Linked DNA regions of Macaca fascicularis. The protein of the gene in region 1 purifies or fractionates together with the protein of each later gene. This does not show direct contact. Links are inferred from orthologs where the notes say so. Each region holds a gene or a part of one and is shown on either strand. Other genes may lie near its edges.

Region 1 (11,000 bases):
CTTTCTCAACCTCCCAGAGTGCTGGGATTACAGGCATTAGCCACCGTGCTCAGCCGCCTGGCCAATTTTTGTATTTATTTATTTATTTATTTATTTTTTTTGAGACGGAGTCTCGCTCTGTCGCCCAGGATGGAGTGCAGTGGCCGGATTTCGGCTCACTGCAAGCTCCGCCTCCCGGGTTCACGCCATTCTCCTGCCTCAGCCTCCCAAGTAGCTGGGACTACAGGCGCCCGCCACCTCGCCCGGCTAGTTTTTTGTATTTTTTAGTAGAGATGGGGTTTCACCGTGTTAGCCAGGATGGTCTCGATCTCCTGACCTCGTGATCCACCCGTCTCGGCCTCCCAAAGTGCTGGGATTACAGGCTTGAGCCACCGCGCCCGGCCTGAAACAAATTTTTAATAGAGACAGGGGTTTCACCATGCTGGCCAGGCTGGTCTCGAACTCCTGACTTCGTGATCCACTCGCCTCTGCCTCCCAAAGTGCTGGGATTACAGGTGTGAGCCACTGCGCCCAGCCAGAAAGCACTATTTTTACTTTAGGAGTTTGCTTCGAGTTTTTAAAATGGAATTCTGACTTAACAATGAATATTTTTTACATAAAGCATCTAAGATAGTGCTTGGCATAAAATATAACTCAGTACATTTTAGTTTAATCAGATCATCAAAGTAGTATGAATGTGGACTATCTGCTGGCATAATGGAATTAGCCTTTTACATAAAATGCTTTTTTAAACCATATGAAGTGTTCAGAGTGAAGTTGGTAACAATATTGTGGATATTCGGTTTCTTAAAGTTGTAAGGACCCTGAGGATGTTGCCATTAATTTGGGTGATGGTACTTGTAAAGAATTAGGAAACTCAGAGAAAATGGCTCTATGGCCACATAAGCAGGTGTCATGGAATCTTTTAATCACTTGGTTGCCTTGGGCAAAACAGTAGAGATAATGGACTTTTCTTTTTTTTTTTAAATAGAGTCTTGCTCTATTGCCAGACTGGAGTGCAGTGGCACAATCTCGGCTTACTGCACCCTTCACCTCCTAGGTTCAAGTGCCTCAGCCTCCTGAGTAGCTGGGATTATAGGCACATGCCGCCACACCCAGCTAATTTTTGTATTTTTAGTAGAGACAGGGTTTCACCATGTTGGCCAGGATGGTCTCGATCTCCTGACCTCGTGTTCCACCTGCCTTGGCCTCCCAAAGTGCTGGGATTACAGGCATGAGCCACCAGGCCCAGCCGATAATGGAACACTTCTAAATTTTTTTTTTTTTTTTAAAGACAGAGTCTCGCTGTCTCACCCAGGTTGGAGTGCAATGGCACAATCTCAGCTCACTGCACCCTCTGCTTCCTGGATTCAAGTGATTCTCCTGCTTCAGCGTCCTGAGTAGCTGGGATTACAGGCGTGCGCCACCATGCCTGAGTAATTGTTGCGTTTTTAGTAGGGGTTTCGTCATGTTGGCCAGGCTGTTCTCAAACTCCTGACCTCAGGTGATCCGCCAGGTTTGGCCTCCCAAAGTGCTGGGATTACAGGCATGAGCCACTGTGTCTGGCCCATTTCTAAATATTTTAAACGAACAGAATCTAAGCGGATACTGTTCACTTAAAATATTTGTCGTGGCCGGGCGTGATGGCTCAAGCCTGTAATCCCAGCACTTTGGGAGGCCGAGACGGGCGGATCACGAGGTCAGGAGATCGAAACCATCCTGGCGAACACAGTGAAACCCCGTCTCTACTAAAAAATACAAAAAACTAGCTGGGCGAGGTGGCGGGCGCCTGTAGTCCCAGCTACTCAGGAGGCTGAGTCAGAAGAATGGCGGAAACCCGGGAGGTGGAGCTTGCAGTGAGCTGAGATCCGGCCACTGCGCTCCAGCCAGGGCGACAGAGCGAGACTCGTCTCAAAAAAAAAAAAAAAAAATTGGTGCGCACCTATCTAGCACAGTACTTGACTGAGTGGGATCATATTGCTTTTGTCTTTAATAATTCACACAGTAGTACAAGGCAGAACCATCTTATATTATCTCTGGAACAAGACTGGCAATAAATTTTTTAAAAATGAGTATGTATATCATAAATGCCCTATCAGTTTTATCACCAAAACTCTGCAGGAGTTTAGAGAGAAGTCACATTTCCCTGGGGTAATTAAGCTAGTCAACAAATATTTATGATAGTATGAATTGTTTTTTATGCCTGTAACAAATAGCATATGAGAATGTTTATGTTAAATTAAAACATAGATTGCAATATAGTTATGAGTACAGTGTTATATACAATTTTTTAAAAGGCTAGAAAGCCATCAAAATCTTAAGAAACAATTGTATCAGGTCAATTTAGGGAGACCGAGAGGGAGGAAGGGAGGTGGAATTAGAAATATGTATAATATTTTTATTTAGAAATATATTTTTAAAATAAAAAATACAGTCACATAGTTTCAAAATTTAAAAAATAAACTGTTTTAGGTCTTGCCCTGGGTGATAGAGACACCAGTGAAATAGAAATGACAATAGGAAAGGTAGTAATAACTACCAGCATTTACAAGCATACAGTAGTTTTCCCATAATCACCCTCTACTACCTACTTCCCCTCACCCTTTCAAGACCACTATTATTGTGCATCCTTCAGTGATATTTTTTGTCTGATAAGCAAATATGTAGATTTATTATATATCATTTATCTCTCTGTTTTATAAACTGTTCTGTACCTTGCTTTAGTAACAATATATTGGATAGCTTTCTTTTTTAAATAATATTTTACAGTTTACTTACTCCTTGTAATTGTCTCATAGCATGTTTTCATTAAATGGACTATCATTATTTAACCAGTCTCTATTCCATGACTTTGCTATTACAAGCAGTGCTGTAATGAATAGCATTACACTTATGTCATTTTGTACTTGTATGTATTATCTGAAGGATAAGGATAAGTTCCTAGAGGTGGAATTGCTGGATCAGTGCATTTGCATTTGTAATTTTGATAGATATAAATCAGCGGCATACAATCATAATTACCTAGGGAACTTTTCCGAAGTTCTTATGTCTGCCCTTCCTAAAACCTGGGAGTTATTTCTGGTTGTTTTGTGGTTTTCTATAGATCTGGGATGGGGCTCAGGTATCTATATATTTTAAAGTGTCTAAACTGGGCTGGGCATGGTGGCTTATGCCTGTAACCCCCAGCACTTTGGGAGTCCGAGGTGGGTGGATCACTCGAGGTCAGGAGTTCAAGACGAGCCTGGCCAACATGGTGAAACCTCCTCTCTACTAAAAATACAAAAAAAATAGCCAAGCATGGTGGCACGCACCTGTAAATCCCAGCTACTCAGGAGGCTGAGGCAGGAGAATTGCTTGAACCTGGAGGTAGAAGTTGCAGTGACCCAAGATACCACCACTGCACTACAGCCTGGGCAACAGAGCGAGACTCCATCTCAAAAAAACAAAACAAAACAAAACAAAAACCAAATCTACCACAAATAGAAAAGGCCAGGATTAGTTTAGGATGTGTTACTCAGCCCATTTAGCCTTTTAGCCTAAGTAGTATTTCCCCCAAAGCTAATTATTCAAGGTTCTTTGATTATCTTTATTACCTTACCCTCTACTTTTTCTCTATTTCTGCTAGATAGAAGATCAAATATAAATTAAAGTGAAAACAGGAAAGTTTTACCACTAGTTACCTAACTGAATTTTTGAAAACTCTGAATTATAAAACCATTTTAAAAAAGAAAATGTAGTGTATTTACTTTTGGATATTCTCATGAACTTGATTAACAGCGATATAGAGAGCTCAGGATCCTGACTTTAATAATAGACTAGGATTATGTGTTTTTACCACATTATGTGTTAGTATTCAATTAAGTTTCTCGATGTTAAAAATTTTTAAAAACATTTAAATGTACAACTATTTAAAATCTTGACCTTAGTATTAATTTCCTGGGTAAATTATTTGATTCATATTCTGTACAGATAGAGATCGATGACCACCTTTTGGAATGATCTGAAATCCTGAATTGGTTGATGCCAAATTGATGATGTCTTCACTTCTATTTAACTAACTTTTGCCAGTACTCAGCAAATACAAATGCTATCTTCCTTTGAGTTACATTAGTTTATAATCCTCTGTGGTATGCCATTTAATTCTACTTTTCATTCTGAAAGAGTTCTTAGGCCCTGCTCATTATTCATGGGAAACAGTTGTGCAGCATGCCTTGACATTAAGTTGAGCATCTAAAATTAGTCCTGCTACAATCAGTTGTTGGGAACAAGGTTTCAATAGTTGTGGCATGTGTTAAGTAGACATTGCAAGGTTGGAAGGAACTCCCTAGAAATAAGTAAGTTATGTGTTATGTACGTGTTCATTTGTGTATCTGTGTGTATATATATATATAATGGAAGGTCTCTTTTTATTAAGCAAATTAACAAATTATGTGTTACCACAAATTCTTCATGTGCAATACAAAGCATCTTTGTTCATGCACTATGCTATTTAATTAATAATTTCACAAGAAAAATATGTTTGTTGAGAACTTGACAGATAAAACATTTTTTGCATGTTTGTGGTTTTGTGGTTTTCATTTTTTTAAATAAATAATTGTATTGCATATACTCTATTTCAAGCGAATGGCTTTTCTTTCTCTCTTCAGAGTTTATAGAAACCTATTCACCAAAATGGCATCCTGGTTATATGAATGTCTTTGTGAAGCTGAACTTGCACAGTATTATTCTCATTTCACTGCCCTTGGCCTTCAGAAAATAGATGAATTAGCCAAGATTACAATGAAAGACTACGCCAAATTAGGAGTCCATGACATGAACGACCGCAAACGTCTCTTCCAACTTATCAAAATTATTAAGATTATGCAAGAAGAAGATAAAGCAGTCAGTATCCCAGAGCGTCATCTTCAGACAAGCAGCCTGCGCATCAAGTCTCAGGAATTAAGATCTGGCCCTCGCAGACAACTGAATTTTGATTCTCCTGCTGACAATAAAGACACAAATGCCAGCAATGATGGGTTTGAAATGTGCAGTTTATCAGATTTCTCTGCATATGAACAGAAGTCCACTTACCTAAAAGTGCTAGAACACACGCTACCAGATGATTCCCAGTACCATACAAAAACAGGAATTATGAATGCCACAGCTGGTGATTCCTATGTGCAAACAGAAATCAGCACTTCACTCTTTTCACCAAATTACTTTTCTCCAATACTGGGGGATTGTGATATTCCCATTATTCAAAGAATCTCTCATGTTTCAGGGTATAACTATGGAATCCCTCATTCTTGTATCAGGTAATAAATTTTATCTTTCTTTCTTTTGAGGGAAAGTAGCCTTAGGCAAGGGCAGGCCTCTCCTTCATGTCCAGCAGACAGCATCTACTCCTTATTTACAGTAAATGAATATAACAGAAATTATCATGAACAGCTTTTGCATCAATAATAGGAATACCTGGATGTGGGAAAATTAATGAGAAATTGGGAACTTTCTAGGTGGGAGAAAGATGATATTGTTCATGTACATCAAAACAGCTGCGACTTGCCAGGATCTGTAGCAGACTTGTTTCTATTATTTATTATAGCGTAACATGATACATCTAGTACATCCGTGAAAGTAAAATAGTTAACCCTTCTACAATAGAGAAAAAAATTACACAATCCACAGAACTTTTTTAAGGTTATCAAATTCACTTAACCCAACCAGGAGACTTAAAGATGCTTTGTTAAAAACAAGGGCATGTAGTTTAATTAAGTAGGTCTTTGGAGCAGTTAGTTCACCTGCACACATTGAAATACGATCCTGATTTTGAGTGCTTTCTATAGTTTCAACCCTGGAAAAAACAATTTTGGTGGTTACAAACAGTAAGACATTGTAGGTGGAGATTAGAGTTTGAGAGTCAGGGTGACAATAAGTTATTTTCACCTAGTGCTTCGAGTTAGAGTTTGAAATAAGGTCCCTAAGAGGTGAAATAACAAGTAATCCCTACTACTAACAATGGTATAGTAGGAAATATGTTCTTGTAAAAAAAAAAAAAAATTCCTTGTTTTATTTTAAATGTTATGTATGTTAGTTATGGGAAAATAAAATTCATTCTTGAGCCATATTTTCTTTTTAAAAATACTATTATTCATACCTTAAGATAAAGTATTTGTATCTGGTCTTACATTGGCTAAGGTTTCAGAAGATCTCATAATCAGTTCTTTACTCCATAAAAATAGAAGACTCAGTTTAAACAGTAAAAATATCTTTAATAATTTGAAATATATCAGTGAATTTTTATAGTATTTCTGGAAACATTTTGTTTGGTCTAGGAGATCACAGAGCATGTAATACTGTTTTCTTCTTTTAATTCTGAGAGGAATAGATTGTTCCTTGACTATGAAGGCAGATTGTTGCTATTCTGTTGGTTACCTCAGTGGTAAAGGAGTAAATACTTTCTTTTTTTTTTTTTCAAGATGGAGTCTCACACTGTCGCCCAGGCTGGAGTGCAGTGGCGCGATCTTGGCTCACTGCAAGCTCCGCCTCCCGGGTTCACGCCATTCTGCCTCAGCCTCCCGAGTAGCTGGGACTATAGGCGCCCGCCACCATGCCTGGCTAATTTTTTGTATTTTTAGTAGAGATGGGGTTTCAGCATGGTAGCCAGGATGGTCTCAATCTCCTGACCTTGTGATCCGCCCACCTCTGCCTCCCAAAGTGCTGGGATTACAGGCGTGAACCACTGCGCCCGGCCTATTTTCTTGAATATTACTTTTTTATTGAATAATACATAAAAATCTAAATTGGAATTACTTATAAATAAAAATACCGCTTTGCATTATTTAAAAACATCAAGGATAGGATGGATATTTTAGTTTAACCATTACCATTTCATTTATTTGACTCTTTGTTTGTTTGTTTTATAGAGACAAGGTCTTGCTCTGTTACCAAGGCTGGAGTGCAGTGGTGCAGTATTGCCCACTGCAGCATCAAACTCCTGAGGTCAAGCGATCCTCCTGCTGCAGCCACCCAGGTAGCTAGGACTACAGGTACACACTACTGTCCCCAGCTAATTTTTTAATTTTTTGTAGAGATGGGGATCTCACTATGTTACCCAGGCTGGTCTTGAACTCCTGACCTCAAGTGATCCTCCCACCTAAGCTTCCCAAAGCACTGGGATTACAGGTGAGAGCCACTCCACCCTGCCCAAACTGAGCTTTTTAGAAAACATGCATGTCTTTTTGCCCCTTGAACTTGAAAACTATGGGCCTTTTGTTCATATGAGTCATCCTTGAGCCCTGGGCAATTTTAAAAAGGACTAAACATTTTCTGTACTGTTTGATCAACTTTATATGATTAGGTTATTGATATCCAACAACTAAAGATTTTAACACAAAACCCTTATTAAAATGATACATTAGGCCAGGTGCAGTGGCTCACACCTGTAATCCCAGCACTTTGGAGTCCAAGCCAGGTCGATCGCCTGAAGTCAGGAGTTCAAGACCAGCCTGGCCAACATGGCTAAACCCTATCTCTACTAAAAATACAAAAATTAGCTGGGCGTCATGGCAGGTGCCTATAATCCCAGCTATTCTAAAGGCTGAGGTAGGAGAATTGCTTGAACCCAGGAGGCAGAGGTTGCAGTGAGCCAAGATTGTGCCACTGTACTCCAGCCTGGGTGACACAGCGAGACTCTGTCTCAAAAATAAAAAAAAATTTAAAAAATTAAAATTTTTCATTTTTGATGAGCACAGTGGCTCATACCTGTAATCCTGGCATTTTGGGAGGCCAAGGCAGGCAGATTGCTTGAGTCCAGGAGTTCGAGGCCAGCCTGGGCAACATGGTGAGACCCTGGCTCTACAAAAATTAGCCAGGCATGGTGGTGTGCACCTGTAGTTCCAGCTACTATTGGCTGAAGTGGGAGGATGGCTTCAGCCCAGGAGGTTGAGGCTGCAGTGAGCTGTGCTCACACCACTGCACTCCAGTCTCGGTGATAGAGCAAGACCCTGTCTCAAAACAAAACAAAACAAAAAATTCTGTTTTCTTGTGAAAAATCAAACATATGCAAAAGAAGAAAAAATAGAACACTGAATCCCAATATGTCCGTCATCCAGTTTCTTTTTCTTTTTCTTTTTTTTAAGACAGAGTCTTGCTCTGTTGCCCAGGCTGAAATGCAATGGCACTATCTCACCTGTGAGCTCCACCTCCTGGGTTTAAGTGAGCACATCCGGCTAAGTTTTATATTTTTAGTAGAGATGGGGTTTCACCACGTTGGCCAGGCTGGTCTTGAACTCCTGACCTCAAGTGATCTGCTCGCCTCAGCCTCTCAAAGTGCCAGGATTACAGGCGTGAGGCACTGCACCTGGCCCATCGTCTAGTTTTAATGATTGTCAAGATTTTCCCACGGTACCTCAAAATGGTACATTTCATTCTTTATTCCACCTGCAGTTTCATGCAAAAATGATGCATTTTAAAGTCACTAAATGTTGGTTAAGAAAATAAAATTTGCTTTAAAACATGCCATAAAAGTAGTGCTTTATGCATTATATTAGAAAATTATTTGCTGTTTTTTTTTTTTTTTTTTAACCAATTCAGATCCCAGTAAAAAAATAATTTTCCAGGCTGGGCGTGATGGCTCATGCTTGTAATCCCAGCACTTTGAGAGGCCAAAGTGGGAGGATTGCTTGAGGCCATAAGTTCAAGACCAGCCTGGGCAAGATAGTGGGACCCTGTCCCTACAAAAATTACAAAAATTAGCCAGCTATGGTGGTGTATGCCTATAGTCCTAGCTACTCGGGAGGCTAAGGTAGAATTGCTTGAACCCAGGAGGTCGAGGCTGCAATGAGCCGTGGTTATGCCAATGCATTCCAGCCTCCATGACAGAAATTTTTTTTCAGCAGCCAGTTGGAGGGCTAAGAAGATCAGAATTGATGTGAAACAATTGTATAAAATAGTATCCTATATAAGATCTCTTAGGGGTTTTTTTGTTTGTTGATTGGTTTTTGTTGTTCTGTTTTTTATGTTTTTGCAGGGGAAGAGGTGGAGTAGGGTGGGGATGGAGATAGAAGAACTTTCTCAGGGTTGACCCTTTACTTTGTAACTTTAAGAAATATATTATGCCTAATATACAGCAAAATGTACCCATACTTTGACCTGTTAAGTAATCTTGTCCTATTATTAAAAATTAAAAGCCTGTTTATAAACATATATTAGACAGAACACTTCAGAGAAACAGAATCCTTGGACTGAGATGGAGAAAATCAGAGTTTGTGTTCGAAAACGCCCCCTGGGCATGAGGGAGGTACGTCGTGGAGAAATTAATATTATTACTGTAGAAGATAAAGAAACTCTACTTGTGCATGAGAAGAAAGAAGCAGTTGACCTCACTCAATATATTCTGCAGGTATGATGTTTTCCTTTTATGTTTGGAACTAATATTATCAAGTATGTCGTTGTTTTATTTTTTTTGCTTTTTGTTTGAGTGATGGCATATAGGTTTCTGTTAGAACACAGAAAATCATGTTTCTGGTTTGGGTGTTGACATTCATTCCTGATGTGACACTGTTTTAAGTCATTGATATCCAGGGCCTTCATTTTTTTAAAAAGATGGTGCAATAGGGAATACAAAAACAATTTCTCTTGTGCAGTGGAGCTACATCATATATTCACTTAACATGCTTTGTGTGAATTTAATTATACATATTCAGCAAAAAAAAAAAGAGGGATGAAGGAATAAAAATAATTTAAATAATGAAGTGGAGCCAGGTGTGGTGGCTCATGCCTATAATCCCAGCGCTTTGGGAGGCTGCAGCAGGAGGATCACTTGAGCTGGAGAGTTTGAGACCACCCTGGGCACCATAGCGAGACCCTGTCTCTCCAGAAAAAAATTTAAAACTAGCCTAGCATGGTGGTGTGTACCTGTAGTGTTAGCTACTCAGGAGGCTGAGGTGGGAGGATCACTTGAGCCCAGGAGTTCTGCATTACAGTGCACTATGATTGCACCACTGCACTCCAGCCTGGGCAACAGAGGGAGGATCTGCCTCTAAAATAATATAAAAATAAAAAACAAATAAATAATTAAGTAGTTGTCAACAGGACCAGTCACTGAATATATGCCCCAGAGTGACTATGAGATGTCACACAGTTGATTTCCATTCTTGCTTGCATCTCATAGTGTGAACTTCTCATCTGCTGAGTTTGAGACTTGGGTTTAATGATGAACAATATCTTTTTGGGCAGCAGGACCCACAGTTGCCAGCCATGTGCTTATTTTCATTCTCAGCTGTCTTGGGCTTATAATTAATTGGTGAAAATTGGGCTCTGAGCAGACCACTTTATACAGGGTAGACTGCAGTGGGTAAATATAATCCAAGGATACGATTTCACATCTACCATATAAGGGTTTAAATAAAACACTAATAACTCAGACATGTAAATAATGTTCACTACCTGCTAGAGTGATTATGAAGAGTCGAAGGAGAAAGAGTTTGGTATTGAAAGGAACTTACTCCAAGCTGAAGGTACCTTGCAATAATTATCTAGTCTCATAGGGAAACAGCAAACTCCACAGATGGAAAGAATCATCACTTAGGTACTCCTAAGACTGTGAAACAATTGTGAGTAATCTAAAACCAGATAATCCATCAGATGTTAAGATTTACGAATACACAGTTTCTCTTACTCTGAATCTACTTCCCTAAACATTCATATTATATTTATTCTTTCTCTCTCTTGTTCTCTTGCCTCAAAACTGAGTAGCTGGTAGAGAGAAAAAAAATGTGGTATGCTAGCAAGTCACCTTAGCTGAGATCTTACATTAGTGGAATAAATCCTTTAATGCTGAAGTCAAATTTGTTAACACTTTCCCCCACTTTCTAACTTGTATTGTTCTTCTTTTTCTTTGGTTACCAAAATTGCGTTTCACAGTGATATTCAGAGTAATCCACTGAGTGTTTCTATTGGTACTAAATTATTAGGCCGCTGTAAAACCAACCCAATCACTTTAACAGCCTTATCGATTGCTGATCAATGCATGGTCTATTAGG
Region 2 (11,000 bases), on another chromosome or scaffold:
CTGATGGCAAGGTATAGGGTAATAGATTTGTGGTTGGGGTAGCCTCGTAGTCAAGGCTCCCTTAAAATAAAACCTTGCTGACAGTGGTAATTGTAGTGTGAAAGGCATAGTGTCCTCTTGCTTAATCATGGGATATGGACTGCTCACTTCTTAAATGGTTACCTTTGCAGTTTAAGAGGTACGAGTTTCTCTGGGAATAGAGCCATGGTGAAATTTCCATTCTCTAAATTCCATTCTTCCTTGCTAGCTTTGGTGTATAGTCTGCCTTCTTTTTTTCTTCTGGTTTACATTATTGTTTGAGCTTATTATTATTCTTATTCGTTTATTCAATACTTTTATCAAGTGCCTGCTGTGTGCTGATACTGTTCTGTATAATGGGGATTCAGTGAACAAGACTGAAAAGGTACCTGTACTTATGGCGCTTACATTTTGGTGGAGGAAGACAGACAAAAATCAAGGAAATAAACACGATAATTTCAGATAGTGGTAAGTGCTATGAAAATTGGGAAACAGCAGGGTAATGTGATAGTGTGATCGAGGCAGAGTTAATTTAGATGGGGTCATCAGGGACGCCTTCTCTGAGGAGGGGATATCCAAGCTGAGACTAAAGGATAAGAAGGATCCAGTCATGCTCTAAGGATCATCTAGTAATTTGTATAATCTCCATATTAGCACTCATATTTGAATGAGTAATGTATTGTCATATGCTGTGTTGTGCTGTAATAATAATATAGTACTATATACATCTGCAAGATGTAGGACATACATGTACTATTTAAGGGATGTGATTAACTTTCTGAAACAATGAGGCATATCTCTATGATGTTGAAAGAAAAATAAAACTATGGCCATAAAAGTATTAGATTTCCTTAATACCTTCCCTCACTTCTAAATTTGAATTTAATGCTTTGCTTCAGTATCCATAGAAGATATATTACTTTATTTGTATAATCTATTTACATTCTGTGTATTGCTGAATGCATGGCATGTATTAAAAAAATAAAATATTTGAGCAGAAATGGGGTTGTTAAGAAATAATGTGAGTTGAAACCTAGACTAAAAAAAGGCTATGCCTTAAGGCGTTGTATTGTTTTAACTTTTGCTTTTTTAAAATAAATAAAAGCTTGTAAAATAGTCTCACTCACACTGTAGAGAACCATTTGTTCGTCATTAGATTCCTACTTTGCATAGATTGAACACAAATAATTACAACTGAATAGTAGGAAGAAATTTTGTTCTTAAACTATGATTAAACTATTTAGTCAAAAATAGCATTATATCTTATTTTTAAATAACCTGATTGTAATTTTGACTATTTTTTTTCCCATTTCTCATTGCACTGTAATTTGTCCCTGATACTTTGGTGTACTGAATTTTTAAGTACTTTGAGGCCTACCAAGGACATATCCTATTTCATCTTTGCATATCCCACATCATGAATTGAATTTCCCTGCCCTCTCTTTTTTTTGTTAAGAAACCAATTCTTTTAAAATGAAGACATAAAGGAACATTATTGTATTATTCATACCCTTGCTGGTTATGATTCTGATAATGTCTTTTTATTTTCCCTTATTTATTTAAAGGAAACAGTGCCACACATAATGCTGTGCAAATAAGCAATCAATATTTAATGTTTGCTAAATGAATGAATATGATGCCTAATCCCTGCTGGTTACCTTGTATTTTCATAATCACAATTTCCCAGAAACTGTGAAATTACTGGGATTGTTTTAAGTAGTTTGGTGATGGTTCCAATTTTCAACAATAAAATATAATTAATATCAGAGCCAATCGATTTTCTGTTTTTTACCTCTGACTGAGTTGACTGGTGCCCATGGAGTCCAAGTATAGTGTTAAGATAGGCAAATTGAGGCAGGAGGATTGCTTGAGTCTGGGAGTTTGAGACTATAGTGCACTGTGATCGAACCTGTGAATAGTCACTGGAATCCAATTTGGGCAACATAGTGAGACCCTATCTCTTTAAAAAAAAAAAAAAGTAACCTTTGAACTTCAAAGTAGAAAATTTTTAAAAGTAAATATTCTTTGATTTAAGTAGGCTTTTTTACTACAGTGTTTCTACCTTTGTATGATATAGTTTTTCTTGTGTAGATAAGTCCTGTTAAAGAAAATATAATATCCTATTTTACAATCTGAAGTTAGTAAAGGTGTACAGAACTTAGTTTTCTTTAAGAAGGTTATGAATTCTTAGCTAAATTAATCCCATTTAAAGATTGATTTACATGCAATAATATTCAGAAATATTTAATATATCAAGGACATCTTAATTGGACATGTTCTTGAGGTGAATTACCATACACAAGAATTAGCTCCTGATTAGTAAGACAATTCTTTTTTTTTTTTTTTTTTTTTTTTTTTTTTTTGAGATGGAGTCTCGCTCTGTCGCCCAGGCTGAAGTGCAGTGGCCGGATCTCAGCTCACTGCAAGCTCCGCCTGCCGGGTTCGGGCCATTCTCCTGTCTCAGCCTCCTGAGTAGCTGGGACTACAGGCGCCCGCCACCTCGCCCGGCTAGTTTTTTGTATTTTTTAGTACAGACGGGGTTTCACCGTGTTAGCCAGGATGGTCTCGATCTCCTGACCTAGTGATCCACCTGTCTTGGCCTCCCAATGTGCTGGGATTACAGGCTTGAGCCACCGCGCCCAGCCTTAGTAAGACAATTCTGGGAGGACCAGTTATAGGAATTGTGAATTATAGGGACTCTCTCATGCTCTGCAAAATCTGCCAAATAAGATCTGTTTTTCCCAATACATTAAAAATAACATTTTTCTCTCTTGTAGTGTGACTGTGGGAAGATGGAGGAGTATGAGAAGTTCTGTGAAAAAAGTCTTGCCAGAATACAAGAAGCATCACTATCCACAGAGAGCTTTCTCCCTACTCAGTCTGAAAGTATCTCACTTATTCGCTTTCATGGAGTGGCTATCCTTTCTCCACTGGTAAACTTGCTTTGTTTTTAAATAGTTTTTTTCTGTAGTGAACAACTAAAACAGTTCATGGAAAAACAAAAGAAAGGCTTATAAACATTCGAAGAGCTGCCCTTATTTAGAATTAGAGAAATGCAAATGAATTAGCATTTTTTACTTACTATTATAGATTGACAAAGAGCTAATAGAACCTTGTGTTCCTTAGACTGTGGAGAAAATGCACTTTTAATGCACTTTTGCTAAGAGAATCAGTTTATTTTATTTCTAGATGAGAGTTTGGTAGAATTTAAAAGCATACATAGCCTTTGAGTCAGCAGTTCCATTTTGGGGTGTATCCTACAATTATACGTGAGCCTAAAGAAGTAAGTACAGAGTTACATTAGCATTGTTTAAAATAGCAAAGGTTGACGAACAACCTAAATGTCCATCAGTAGTGGAGTAGTTTAACTGTGGTCCATTTTATAAAATCTCTTACTTACCATTACAGTAAGGCAGATGTAAATGTTGAGGCATGGAAGGATCTTGATGATCTAGTGTAAAACACTGTGTGCAGCATGCTGTCAGGGGCAGTATAGAGTCACGATTAGAGGTCCAGGCTGTGGACCAGGCACGGTGGCTCACATCTATAGTCCCAGTTATTTGAGAGGCTGGAAGGGAAAGGATTGCTTGTGACCAGGAATTCAAGACTAGCCTGGTTAACATAGTGAAACCTCATCTCTACAAAAACATTTTAAAAAATTAGGCAGGCGTGGTGACATGTGCCTGTAGTCCCAGCTACTCGAAGGCTAAGGTGGAAGGATTCCTTGAACCTAGGAGTTCCAGGCTACAGGGAGCCAGGATTGCGCTGTTGCCTGGGCTACAGAGCAAGACCCTGTCCCAAGAGAAGGAAAAAATCTCCAGCCTGGGCTACAGAGCAAGACCCTGTCCCAAAAGAAGGAAAAAAAGAAAAACAAAAGCCTAGGCTCTGGAGCCTTCTGGCCTGGTCCAAATCATTGCTTTGCTACTTACTTGCTGTGTAAACTTGTGGCCCATTTTCTTATTTGTTAAATGGGGATAAAATAGTGCCTATCTCATAAGGCTATTTTGAAGATTAAATGAATGCATAGTTATAAAATGGTTAGAATACCACCTGGATCATAAGAGGTACCCAATATAAGTTAACCATTTGGGTTTTTTAAAGGATGGCTATTCCTTTTCTGGGGAGTGGTGAGAGAATATAGGATAATAGGGAAGACACTTCATCATATACCGTTTGATACTAATTGGATATTTTAAAATGTATATGACTTTATTTTAAATCACAAACTAATATTAGAAAAAAGTGAGCTTTAAATTTATGTTTTGGTATAACAGGAGTTAAGAGATTAATTTTAATTAATTTAATTGAATTTTTTTTTTTTTTTTTTTTTTTTTGAGACGGAGTCTTGCTCTGTCACCCAGGCTGGAGTGCAGTGGCCGGATCTCAGCTCACTGCAAGCTCCGCCTCCCGGGTTCACGCCATTCTCCTGCCTCAGCCTCCCAAGTAGCTGGGACTACAGGCGCCCGCCACCTCGCCCGGCTAGTTTTTTGTATTTTTTAGTAGAGACGGGGTTTCACCGTGTTAGCCAGGACGGTCTCGATCTCCTGACCTCGTGATCCGCCCGTCTCGGCCTCCCAAAGTGCTGGGATTACAGGCTTGAGCCACCGCGCCCGGCCAATTTAATTGAATTTTTAAAGACACCAGAGCTAACTGCCAACTTTTTGTAATGAAACTTTCAAATATACAGCAAAATTGAAAGGATAGTGCAGTGACCTACCGTAGATTTACCATTAGATTAAACAATATTTAACATTTTTGTCATCTTTGCTTTATTGTGTTTGTGATTTTTATATACATGTATGTGTGTGTGTACATACATACGTTTTAAAAAATTGCCTAGCTATTTGAAAACCACAAAGACCTAACACTGCTTCCCTAAATATTTTGGTATACATCTCTTAAAAATAAGGACATTCTCATATATAAAGCCCCAATACCATTATCACATCTTAAGAAAATTAATAATTTTTAATAATGTCTAATAATTCTGTTCATATTTAAATTTTTCCATTTGTGCTCAAAATGCCTTTTATAACTTTATTCCCCCAATCTGGATCCAAAGTTCATAATTAGTATTTGCTTGTTATGTTTCTTTATTTTAATCTAGAACAGTTCCTCTATGTCTTAAAAACAATTTTTTTTATTGGTTGGGCATGGTGCCTCACGCCTGTAATCTCAGCACTTTGGGAGGCTGAGGTGGGTGTATTGCATTGCTTAATCCCCAGAGTTTGAGACCAGCCAGGGCAACAGGGTGAAATCTCATACCTACACAAAATACAAAAATCAGCCGGGTGTAGTGGCGTGCACCAGTAGTCTCAGCTGCTCTAGAGGCTGAGGTGGGAGGACCACTTGAGCCCAGGAGACTGAGGCTGCAGTGAGCCCTGATCATGCCACTGCACTGCAACCTGGGTGACAGAGTGAGATACTATCTTTTAAAAAAACCAAAACTGTGATACTGAATTTTTAAAGAGACCAGAGCTATTGTCTTGTAGAATTCCTTAGATCTTGGATTTGTCTCATCATTTCCTAATAGTGATATTTAACTTGTTTCTCTAGTCCCTGTAGTTCCTATGAACTGGAAGTGAAGTTTGATAAACAGGTTAAAAGATTTTTGGAATTCTTTGAAGATGGGGCTGGACGGGGTGGCTCATGAGTATAATCCCAGCACATTGGGAGGCTGAGACCAGCCTGACCAACATGGCGAAACCCCTTGTCTACTAAAAATATAAAAATTAGCTGGGCATGACGGCGGTTGCCTGTAATCCCAGCTGTGCGGGAGGCTGAGGCAGGAGAATTGCTTGAACCCAGGAGGGATCAGGATTGCACCACTGTACTCTAACCTGAGACTCCATCTCAAAAACAAAAAAATAAATAATAAGGAATTCTTTGGAGATGATGCCCTACACTTCATACTAAGTTAAATCAGAAGTTGCATAATGTTTAGTTGCCCTCTATTAGTGATGTTTAGTTTGAACACTTGCTTACAGTAGTGACTGCCAGATGGCTCTTTAAAGTACGCATTTTCTCCTCTTGATTAGCAAGTAAATTGTATAATGATTCTTTTGTACCATGCATTAGGAAAAAGTTTTAAAACAACATATTTGCCAGCTATTTGATAACATATTGCTTGATTTAATGTGGACCAAAATGTCTGAGGCTTGTTGTATGGTGTCTATGACTCCATCTGTTAGTTATTTGTAAGCAAAATCTGATGTTTATGGACCTAATCCACATTTTTATGTTGTATTTGATAGGTGAATATTGCAACTTTTGAAATAATTTTTAATGATATATTTTCTATTTGTGTAAGTCTACAATAAGTCTTGACTGTTAACAGTGACTTAATTTCCTAGGACTTAATAATTAAGATTGAAATCCATTATAAAGAGATACAATGCTTAGAAGCCTTCCATTTTTTAGGTACATTATATTTTTATCGGAAGGTAGAGTGAGGTGAAAGAAAAGACGTGTTCTGATTTTGTAGGCAAATAATACATTATCTGTTTCTTTTATCATTAAACCTTTGGACATTTTTTGAGGCAGCAAAGAGTTAAATTGTGCACTGGTTAGAAAATTAAAAGTTGTAGAATCCAATTGACCCAGTAAAATAAGATACTGAACGTGGGCCAGGCGCGGTGGCTCACACCTGTAATCCCAGCACTTTGGGAGGCCGAGGTGGGCGAATCACAAAGTCAGGAGTTCGAGACCAGCCTGACCAACATGGTGAAACCCCATCTCTACTAAAAATACAAAAATTAGCTGGGTGTGGTGGTGCATGCCTGTAATCCCAGCTCTTCAGGAGGCTGAGGCAGGAGAATTGCTTGAACCCAGGAGGCAGAGGTTGCAGTGAGCCGAGATCGCACCACTACACTCCAGCCTGGGTGACAGAGCAAGACTCAGTCTCAAAAAAAAAAAAAAAAAAAAGGATACTGAATGTGAAGTAATATTCAAGTCAGTATTCAAGTGAAGTAATAAAAAACTCAGCAGTGGCCAAAAGGGCTTTAATTTTATTTCTGTCATTTTAGAACATTTGATTAGTGAACAAACTTTTTTTCTTTTTAACTTTTTAATTGAAAATAATTTACACATAGCAAAATACACAGATCTGAAGTGTTAAAGTTCCATGAGTTTTGATATATGGCATACACATGTATAACTCACACCCACACAGGATATTTTCTTCACCATGGAAAGATCTCTAATGCCCCATCCCACTCAGTACCCAGACCACTGTTCTGATTTCTTTCACTGTAGATTAGTTTTGCCTGTTGCACATGTTTTTCATCTTTGTGATTCAGAACTTCCCAATTTTATGATATTTTTATCGTGGGAAATAATTACATTTTTATGATGTTTTGCAGCTTAACGTTGAGAAAAGAAAGGAAATGCAACAAGAAAAGCAGAAAGCACTTGATGTAGAAGCAAGAAAGCAGGTTAACAGGAAGAAAACTTTACTGACTCGTGTCCAGGAGATTCTTGACAATGTTCAGGTGTGTGATTTATGCAGTTTCAGTTATAATACAGAAATAATAAGATAAGCATTGATGATAATTTTTCTGAAATATATTTGCACTTAACTAATTACTAATGTACTTTACTGTTAGTTTGAGAAGCTTCATAATTTGTGATTTTCCATTTCAGTTACTCCAAAGAGAATGCACTTGCTTGTTAGTGTTGCCCAGTACTTGAATCAGAGGATATTTGCACAATGGAACCATACACTGAATATAATTGCTTATTGTTTGCATTTTGTGATTCTAAAAACATTGAATTCTCAGTGACAAAATGATAGAATTGGGCATTATTGGCCAAACTAATTAGACTATTGACTAAATTACCTTATTCTCATTCTTTGCTTAAGTAAATAACTGCCCCCAATTTTTTTTTGGTGAAAATTCTGCTCTTAGATACACAAAATGCAGTTTAGATACGTTGAATTGTTTAGATGCATCCTGTCTAAAAACTATTTAAACAACACATCTACACCTTGTGCAGTTATTTTTAGATTTGTATAAACAATTTGTTCTGACATGTGGATCATTTTGTACTAAAAAGAAAAACAAATGAATTAGATCGAACGAATAATTTCTACAACATGTAGGAGTGTTCTGCTGTATAACATCTTTTTGTTTTTTCATAATCTTAAGAGTTTGTGGTTTGTCTGTATAATTCGTATTAGATGACACATGTATAATGAACCTTAAGGGCTCATTTCTCTGTTGGTAGTGTAAACCAAAGAAAATGACTGAAGCGAGTCTCAATCGATTTAGAGGTTTGTTTTGCCAAGGTTGAGGATGTGCCAAGGAAAAAGAGACAAAAGTTGCAGTAGGATCTGTGGCTTGTGCTTTTCCAAAAGAGGTTTTGAGGACTTCAGTATTTAAAGGGGAAAGAACAGCAGGAGGGGAAAGAGGAAAGAAAAAAAATGTAGGGTAGGTAGTGAGATAAGTGGTCACATTTTTGTGAGGTTTTGATTAGCACTCACTGAATCCACGTGTCACATGTGAAAGGTGGGGGTAGAGGAACAGTCAGCTATGCATTCATCTCAAGCTCAATAAATCTGCATTTTACATAGGATAAAGTAAACAGAGTAGAGGAGAAGTCAAATATACATTTGTCTCCAAAGGGATGATTTCTAGTCATCTTTGGTCTTTGTCAGTATCTTGTCAGAGTGAGATTCAGCAGAACTCTGGGTTGGTGTAAAGATTTTGGGGCCTACAAGGAATTTCCTTGTGAGCAATTTGCAAGAGAGGCTACCTGGGTAGATAGGTGGCCTTCTATTTTGCAGCTATCTGTTTAGGAATAAAAGGAAAGCAGTTTTTGTGTGACTCAGTTCCTAAGCTTTACTTTTTCCTTTGACATGTGATTTTCCATTTCAGTTACTTGAAATCCCTATGTAATGAGTCTTTAGAATCTGATGAAAAAGTCAAAGGAATATATAGAAAGAGAACAATCTAGACACAGTCTGAGAGTTATAGTGACTCTCATTTGACATAGTTGAGTTTGGGGTCCTGAGATTTTATTTCCCTTTCACAGTAGTATATAGTGTGTGGGTAGTAGATTTCATTACTGTCCGTATTAAGTTTAAAAAATGGATTGAGTAGTGCTAATTTAACTATAAGAGGTGAGTTTTTTACTTACTAGATATTTCCTGTGATTGATACGAAAATGGCGTATCATTTTTGGTCCATTGAGGGAAGATAAAATATACTACTAATAAAATTGTTAAAAGAGCATATATAATGTTGAACTGTAATGAATTAATTACTCAGATAGGAAAATTTTATATAAAACAATTAGATTTCTGCTTCACCTGTAAAACCTAAGATTCTATGATAGAGTTTTTTCTTGTTGTTATTTAGCTTGTCTAACTAAAGGCTCATTTTAGTGACGTATAAACAACATAGCTTCCGAATATCACAAATGTGAAATATTTTATATAAGGAAATCATCTGTTTTACTTAAACCTGTGAACATGTTCATGGATTTCGTAAATATGCATCCTTTTTGTTTTATTTTGGTCCTGAGGCTGTGACTAAGTATGTCTTGTACTGTTGATTGCATAGTACCTGGAAACCATTTTGCATCTTTTTTGTTTTATTTTGGTCCTGAGGTTGTGACTAAGTATGTCTTGTTGTACTGTGTATTGCATAGTACCTGGAAACCATTACCTGTCTTGGGATTTGTAAGGTAAAATAGGAGAGCCATGTGGTCTAGAAAAAAATAAACACATACAAAACAACCAAAAAATATTGTAATATTCAGGCTTTTTTTGTTGTTGTTGAGACGGAGTCTCACTCTGTTGCCCAGGTTGGTGTGCAGTGACGCGATCTCGGCTCACTGCAAGCTCCGCTTCCTGGGTTCATGCCAGTCTCCTGCTTCAGCCTCCCGAGTAGCTGGGACTACAGGCACCCACCACCAAGCCCAGCTAATTTTTTATATTTTTAGTAGAGATGGGGTTTCACCATGTTAGCCAGGATGATCTCGATCTCCTGACTTCATGATCCGCCCGCCTTGGCCTCCCAAAGTGCTGGGATTACACACGTGAGCCACCGCACCGGGCCAATATTCAGGCTTTTGATGTCTATATTCATATGATAATACTATGATTTTTGCCAGTTTAATATACGGATGTATAATTACCTTTAGAAGCCATCGTAGTTCTCTTTTTATTCTTTTGCAAAGTTGGATCATTTAGATACAAAATATCTATTTTTATATTTATTTATTTATTTATTGAGACAGAGTCTCACTCTGTCACCCAGGATGGAGTGCAGTGGTGTGATCTCAGCTCACTGCAATCTCCGCCACCTGGGTTCAAGTGATTCTCCTGCCTCAGCCTCCTGAGTAGTTGGGATTACCAGTGCCTGCCACCATGCCTGGCCAATTTTTGTATTTTTTGTAGAGATGGAGTTTTGCCATGTTGGCCAGGCTGGTCTCGAACTCCTAGACTCAAGCAATTCACCTGCCTTGGCCTCCCAAACTGCTGAGATTACAGGCATGAGCCACCTCTCCCAGCTTTACATATATTTTATGTTTCTTTTTCTCATATATGTAGTTCTCATCTTTATCATCTACCAAATGTTTACCTATTTTGGCTGTTCCGAAATTCATTAACAACTTGCTGTTTTAACTAAGCATCAATGAATCAAATTGGATTTTGTTTTAATGAATTGAGTTTTAAGTTCAAATATTTCTTATTTCTAAATAATTTAAGCTTCATGGCTGGGCTATTGTTTACTACAAATTTCCCTCATTTTATGGAGGGATTTTAGTTAAATTTTGGAGTAAGCATGTGGGTGCAGGAGTCTTATTACTGAATCAGTTTTGCTTAATCAGTGTCCTGGACAAGTTAGTTTTTGTTAGAGAGGGAATCATTTATGTAAGACATTTCATTACTTGCTGTTTATTGCATATATTATTATCCTTGGATGATACCTATCCTACGAGGAACAGTTGGTAATGTTAATAACATGAATAGAAGA

What was found.
Region 2: the proteins of KIF24 (region 1) and CCP110 purify together in Homo sapiens (co-immunoprecipitation; 4 studies listed by BioGRID and IntAct, with this or other methods). This does not show direct contact. The link is inferred for Macaca fascicularis from reciprocal best matches to the Homo sapiens genes KIF24 and CCP110.

The regions. Positions count from the first base shown.
Region 1 is NC_088389.1:65,075,448-65,086,447, forward strand, and holds part of KIF24 (kinesin-like protein KIF24), read left to right. Parts: intron 1-4,209; exon of another isoform or gene 4,210-4,313; intron 4,314-4,625; 5' UTR 4,626-4,650; coding exon 4,651-5,273; intron 5,274-9,168; coding exon 9,169-9,358; intron 9,359-11,000. UniProt on the Homo sapiens protein: Microtubule-dependent motor protein that acts as a negative regulator of ciliogenesis by mediating recruitment of CCP110 to mother centriole in cycling cells, leading to restrict nucleation of cilia at centrioles.
Region 2 is NC_088394.1:19,071,453-19,082,452, forward strand, and holds part of CCP110 (centriolar coiled-coil protein of 110 kDa), read left to right. Parts: intron 1-343; exon of another isoform or gene 344-486; intron 487-2,795; coding exon 2,796-2,951; intron 2,952-7,379; coding exon 7,380-7,508; intron 7,509-11,000.